2 linked regions of the Saccharomyces cerevisiae S288C genome follow. The gene in region 1 interacts genetically with each later gene. Each region holds a gene or a part of one and is shown on either strand. Other genes may lie near its edges. The genes, in order: MGP12 and PRM15.

Region 1 (2,744 bases):
ATTTTACTAAAAGACGGTTTTGCTATGTTTTCCTCGCGAGCAGCTTCATGTATAACAGATTGTAACTTGTTTCTTGTTATGATCGAATTTTGAGATTCTCCTCTCGATAAAATATACCTAACCATTTTTCTAGCTACAGGATTCTCTTTAACGATCTTGGCCACGGCTAAATCTTCTGTTAAATCCACATCGCTGTCATTATCTATAGAACTCATGCTAATGAGAAGCTTATGTTTATCGAACAACCTTCCCTTGTAGCATACTGATATAGGACCCCTTCAATCGAAGTTGATAATAAGCGCATTACTCTTCATTGAAATTTTTCTTCACGTATATCGCGCTGTTAAAGGAGAGGGCCGCATGCATGTAATACTTGCTATTCTTGAGTCAGAAGCCCACACTAAGTGACCTGTGAAATCAAGTTGCTGCTTCAAGATATCGTCCTGTACTGGAAAAAAATACTAGTAGGAATTGCGTGAAGTACTATATAAACTTTTCTTAGATGTAGCTTATTTAACGACACCTGAGGGGGGCATTTAGTATTCTAACTCACCCGCAACGTGAGGCCAAAACGATTCTGCAAATCGCTTCTGCTCCATCGACTCACATCCACCTCTAATAGCCAAGTAACATCTTCTGTCTAATGGAATGTTCCATTCTCCACAATTTCCGCCAACCATTATTCCTCCTGCTTCCTCAAGAATACACCAACCGGCACAAACATCCCAAGCCCAGCAGCCACCTTCCCAATAAGCATCAAGCATGCCGCTCGCTACGTAGCATATGTTCATGGCAGCACTTCCTGCACTTCTGAACCCGTGAACAAAGGCGCCGGACTCACTTAGTAAGTTTTTATAAGTATTCATTTTCTTATCAAAGTTTCCTTGGGAACCTTCAGTTCTTTCCGAACCTCCTTCTAAAGCAATTAAGGATTTTTGCAAAATCAATGGCCTTTTTGAAACCTTTATCTCCTGATCATTTAAGAAAGCTCCATTGCCTTTGGAAGCATGGAATAGTTGGTTTAAGTGAGGATTGAAAACCACACCAACAACCGGCTTCCCCATTTCAGCTAAACCTAGAGATGTACAACTATAGGGGTAACCGTGAATAAAATTAGTAGTACCATCGATGGGATCAACAATAAATGTAGGGCCGTTAGTTATTTTCGTGACACCTTTTACATAAGTTTCTTCTCCGATAAATTTGAAACTGGGATACTTGGCCGTTAAATTTTCCTTGATTATAGATTCAATTTGTTTGTCTAAAGCAGTTACCAAATCTACGCCATTTGCTTTATCATCATATGAACAAAAGTTTGTTCCTGCGTGCGATTTTACGAGAGGTCCTATTTTACTCCTAAGTAATTCAATAAATGTGTTCTCCACTTCCTCTAGTACTTGCCTCGTTAATACCATCGCTTCAATCTAAGTTTACTTTACAAGGGCTTGTGGAGCTTCAACTTCACTTATTCTCTATATTGTTTTCACGATTTTTTCTCCCCACGATTTCATATGTAATGAAGCAGGGTGCTTCACGGCGTTATCACTCGGAACACTGACGTTCTTTATTAAGAATTACCGTTTTAAGGGAAATAATAAGAGGTCACTTAATATGACTGTGAGAATCCATTTTTGTAGTTTTTTAGTTACTGGCTTTGGAATGTCAATATAACTGTGATTGACTTCCCTTTTTTTCGCTTTATGGGTCTATGATGTGCGCAAGTTGTTACCTTTCCGTAGAGAGTTCGGAGTTGATGCATTGTAAAGTTTCGTTTAATTCATAACAGAAATTCGTAATTATTCAGTAAGACATAAAACTTAAGGAACATATCACCATGTTGAGAGCGTTCCGCTGTTCTATACATACTTCGAGGGTATTGTTACATGATGCTGGAGTGAAATTAACTTTCTTCTCAAAGCCTAATTGTGGGTTATGCGATCAAGCAAAGGAAGTGATAGATGATGTATTTGAAAGAAAGGAATTTCATAATAAAGCAGTTTCACTAGAGATAGTCAACATAACTGACCGAAGAAACGCAAAATGGTGGAAGGAATATTGCTTCGACATACCAGTACTTCATATTGAGAAAGTTGGTGATCCTAAGTCGTGCACCAAGATCCTGCACTTTCTTGAAGAAGACGATATCAGTGATAAAATAAGGAGAATGCAATCTAGATGACCTCTTTTGTTTTTACTAGAGTTACAACACTGTAAATATTTATAAGCTATGAATAAGTATATACCTCAAAAAACTATATCTACGCTAATTTTACTATGCATACTTCTTACGCAGGGAACAAAATGAAATGTATTCGCACAAAACGATTTCAAATTTTCCATTATCCTCTATTTCCTTCTCCTTTTCTTGCTTATTTTTAATGACTGGTCTTCGTCTTCTACTAGTAGTAATTTTTTTCTTGAAGAAATTGGAGGTTTCATGCAATTTGAACCCTTCTTGATTTTTCCTCTCACTGGTTTAATTTGGATTGGGGAAGGGTTGGTTAACTCTAGGTCGTCATTTGATGATGAAGAAAGATCGAACTCATCGTTAAATTTGGATGTTTCTTTGGATGAATTAATTCTTGACTTACTTATATGATCCACCTTAGGACACTTTTTCATAGGAGAGTGAATGGCAGCAGAGTTATTAGGAAATAAGTTGGACGTCGTAGCATTTTTTTTGGGTGAATCTGATGGTTTAGTAAAATTTTGTGTACCTTTTTTACTAGGCTCGTTCCGTTTAT
Region 2 (4,562 bases), on another chromosome or scaffold:
ATCATCCATTGTGGCGTGGACCCTACGATTGCAGAGTGGAAGAACGACCCCAATAATCCGAATTTTGAAACATTAAGAGACGTCAAGAGCTTTACGTTGGATGAGGAGTTAGTACTCCCACTTATGTACATGAATGACGATGGTTCTATGCTGAGACCGCCTCCCGTAAGAAAATGTTGGTACTACGTGAAGGTAAGGCCCGGTTTAAAGGAATTTTTCGCTAAAGTGGCGCCTCTTTTTGAAATGCATATCTACACAATGGCTACAAGGGCTTATGCCTTGCAAATTGCCAAAATCGTGGACCCTACGGGCGAATTGTTTGGCGATAGAATTCTGTCGCGTGATGAAAATGGGTCTCTAACAACTAAATCATTAGCTAAACTTTTCCCCACTGACCAGTCAATGGTTGTAGTTATTGACGACAGAGGTGATGTTTGGAATTGGTGTCCAAACTTGATCAAAGTTGTTCCTTATAACTTCTTCGTTGGTGTAGGTGACATTAATTCTAATTTCTTGCCCAAACAATCTACAGGAATGCTACAACTAGGGAGGAAGACAAGACAGAAGAGCCAAGAATCTCAGGAACTGCTGACGGATATTATGGATAACGAAAAAAAACTACAAGAAAAGATAGATAAAGAAGTTAAACGCCAAGAAGAAAAATTGAACCATCAACTGGCGACTGCTGAGGAGCCTCCTGCGAACGAATCCAAAGAAGAGTTGACCAAGAAACTAGAATATTCAGCATCTTTAGAAGTCCAACAACAAAATCGACCCTTGGCCAAACTACAAAAACACCTGCATGATCAAAAACTACTAGTTGATGACGATGATGAACTATACTACTTAATGGGTACGCTATCAAACATTCACAAAACTTATTATGATATGCTCTCACAACAAAATGAGCCAGAACCAAATCTGATGGAAATCATACCAAGTTTGAAGCAAAAAGTCTTCCAAAATTGCTATTTTGTTTTTTCAGGATTAATACCCCTCGGGACCGATATTCAAAGGTCGGACATAGTGATATGGACGAGTACATTTGGTGCCACTTCCACTCCAGATATAGATTACCTGACGACACATTTAATCACCAAGAACCCTAGCACTTATAAAGCGCGTCTAGCGAAAAAGTTCAACCCACAGATTAAAATTGTTCACCCAGATTGGATATTTGAGTGTTTGGTAAATTGGAAAAAGGTGGATGAAAAACCCTACACGTTAATCGTGGACAGCCCCATCTCCGACGAGGAATTACAAAACTTTCAAACACAATTACAAAAAAGACAAGAATATCTGGAGGAGACCCAGGAACAACAGCATATGTTGACATCACAAGAAAATCTAAATTTATTCGCTGCTGGTACTTCATGGTTAAACAATGACGACGATGAAGATATTCCGGACACAGCTAGCGACGACGACGAAGATGACGACCACGACGACGAAAGTGATGACGAAAACAACTCGGAAGGCATTGACAGAAAGAGGAGCATCGAGGACAATCATGATGATACATCACAAAAGAAGACCAAGGCGGAACCTTCTCAAGATGGTCCTGTACAACATAAAGGAGAAGGGGATGACAACGAAGACAGCGATTCGCAGTTGGAGGAAGAGTTGATGGATATGCTGGATGATTAGCAGCTCAGATGCCGTATCTTTCCACACATTTTCCTCATTGGTCTTTGTACCTATAATTGTTCATATTATATATACGTTTGTAACAAATCGATAAATAGCAACAATATTTTTGCTTATTTTGATATCCTGAAATCCTTTTTTTTTTTTTTTTTTTTTTTTTTTTTTTTTTGATTTCATTTCGTTTTTTTTTTTTGAACATTATATATTGTATTGTTTTCTCCCTGTAGCGAGAACTAATTGATTCTTTCTCCTTTCCCCCTAAATACTCAACAGTACTCTCGAGCCATTAGCTGCTGCAATTTCAAAAAATGTTGCAAGGAATTTTAGAAACCGTACCATCTGACTTGAAAGATCCGATATCATTATGGTTTAAGCAAGACCGCAACCCAAAAACTATAGAAGAGGTCACCGCTCTCTGCAAAAAATCCGACTGGAATGAGTTACACAAAAGATTTGATTCTAGAATTCAGTTTGGCACTGCTGGTTTAAGATCGCAAATGCAAGCTGGCTTTAGCAGGATGAATACTTTAGTAGTCATACAAGCGTCTCAGGGATTGGCAACTTATGTAAGACAACAGTTTCCAGACAATTTGGTAGCTGTTGTGGGACACGATCATAGATTCCATTCTAAGGAGTTCGCTAGAGCTACTGCTGCTGCATTTCTTTTAAAAGGATTTAAGGTACATTATTTGAATCCTGACCACGAATTTGTTCATACCCCTTTAGTTCCCTTTGCAGTGGATAAGCTAAAGGCCTCCGTTGGCGTAATGATAACAGCAAGTCACAACCCAAAAATGGATAATGGATATAAAGTATACTATTCCAATGGATGCCAAATCATTCCACCTCACGATCATGCCATCTCTGATTCCATTGACGCAAATTTAGAACCATGGGCCAATGTGTGGGATTTCGACGATGTTCTAAATAAGGCTCTCAAACAAGGGAAATTGATGTATTCCAGAGAAGAAATGCTGAAGTTATATTTAGAGGAGGTTTCTAAAAATCTGGTAGAAATCAACCCATTAAAGCTTGAAGTAAAAGCCAAACCTTGGTTCGTTTACACTCCAATGCATGGGGTTGGATTTGACATTTTCAGCACCATCGTAAAAAAAACACTGTGCCTGGTAGAAGGTAAGGATTACCTATGTGTTCCTGAACAACAAAATCCAGATCCTTCTTTCCCAACTGTTGGATTTCCTAACCCTGAAGAAAAAGGTGCTTTAGACATTGGTATAAACTTGGCTGAAAAACATGACATTGACTTACTTGTTGCCAACGACCCTGACGCTGATAGATTCTCTGTTGCTGTTAAAGATATGCAGTCAGGCGAATGGCGACAACTAACAGGTAACGAAATCGGTTTTCTTTTTGCATTTTATGAATATCAGAAATATAAAAGTATGGACAAAGAATTTCAGCACGTTCATCCGTTGGCTATGTTAAATTCAACAGTGTCTTCACAAATGATAAAAAAAATGGCAGAAATAGAAGGGTTCCATTATGAGGATACATTAACAGGATTTAAGTGGATCGGAAATCGTGCCATACTCTTGGAAAAGAAAGGCTATTACGTTCCTTTTGGATTCGAGGAAGCAATAGGCTACATGTTTCCAGCAATGGAGCATGATAAGGATGGTATCAGTGCATCCATTGTCTTCTTGCAAGCCTACTGTAAGTGGAAAATAGACCACAATTTGGACCCGCTAAATGTCTTAGAAAATGGCTTCAAAAAATATGGCGTGTTCAAAGAGTACAATGGCTATTATGTCGTTCCAAATCCAACTGTTACAAAAGATATATTTGACTACATCAGGAATGTCTACACTCCTGAGGGCGCGTCATATCCTTCATCTATTGGTGAAGAAATCGAAGTACTTTACTATCGAGATTTAACCACTGGTTACCAATCGGATACCATAAATCATAAACCTACTCTACCCGTCGATCCTACATCACAAATGATAACAGTATCTGCTAGACCAAGTAACGGTAGTGAGAATGAGCATATCCGCTTCACTATTCGCGGGTCCGGAACAGAACCAAAACTTAAAGTATATATTGAAGCTTGCGCAAATGAAGAACAAAGAGCCTCTTTCTTGGCGAAATTGACTTGGAATGTGCTGAGACGTGAATGGTTTAGACCAGATGAAATGAATATAGTTACAAAATTTTGATACTATTTTAACCTATACATTAAGACCAAGCGACTTAAAGAATGCCATTATATTTGTTGTTTGTACCTACACTTATATCAATATACATTTAACTAGTTTATGCCTCCAAACTTCTATCTTCAGATTTTCTGTGTCGATTCCAAAGGTTTTCAAGCATGTAAGTCACACTAATCACAACACCAAGAGAAGCGAGCCCAACTCCCAGATATACAGCTGCTCGGTAACCTTTCAACAAATCATTGCCGCTTTTATTAATTTGGTGTTCAACAGTGCCTCCCATACCTAAACATAGAGACGCTGAATAATTAATAACGGTGTTTACTAATGATCCAGCCATACCTTGATACTGCATTGGAAGCCCGTCACTCAATATAATGGATGATGCCGGGAAGGACAGGTCCATACCAAAACATAAGATAGCCTGCATCGCAAAGTTCAACTTCCAATAGCTTTGTTCCACTGGCAATACACTAAACATTATGGAACCAGCGTCAAATGCCATTAGTGAAAAACATAGTAGTAGAGCTGGTCCTAATCTCTTGATAGAAAAGGCAACGAAGAATGCAGCCATGGATCCGAAAATTACGAAAACGAAATACGTACCTCCGGTCCAAACAGGACTGTAATGCCTCAAATTTAGTTGGAAGGAAACATAATAGAATGTCCAAATACCAAACGACCCCCATCCCAGGAATACCGCCAATAATATCATAATCATATGACGGTTCTTCGTCATTG

The links.
Region 2: mutations in MGP12 (region 1) and PRM15 together harm fitness more than expected from each alone (negative genetic interaction), as found in Saccharomyces cerevisiae (one large-scale study listed by BioGRID).

What each region holds. Positions count from the first base shown.
Region 1 is NC_001136.10:1,034,666-1,037,409, reverse strand, and holds MGP12 (Mgp12p), read left to right. Parts: upstream 1-1,834; coding exon 1,835-2,179; downstream 2,180-2,744. Other genes in the region: Smc5-Smc6 complex subunit NSE3, read right to left, coding at 1-215; inositol monophosphate 1-phosphatase INM2, read right to left, coding at 537-1,415; ZIP1 (Zip1p), read right to left, coding at 2,347-2,744.
Region 2 is NC_001145.3:820,808-825,369, forward strand, and holds PRM15 (phosphoribomutase PRM15), read left to right. Parts: upstream 1-1,955; coding exon 1,956-3,824; downstream 3,825-4,562. Other genes in the region: FCP1 (protein serine/threonine phosphatase), read left to right, coding at 1-1,647; ATR2 (Atr2p), read right to left, coding at 3,922-4,562. UniProt on the Saccharomyces cerevisiae protein: Major phosphoribomutase that converts ribose 1-phosphate to ribose 5-phosphate. Involved in ribose salvage via the pentose phosphate pathway.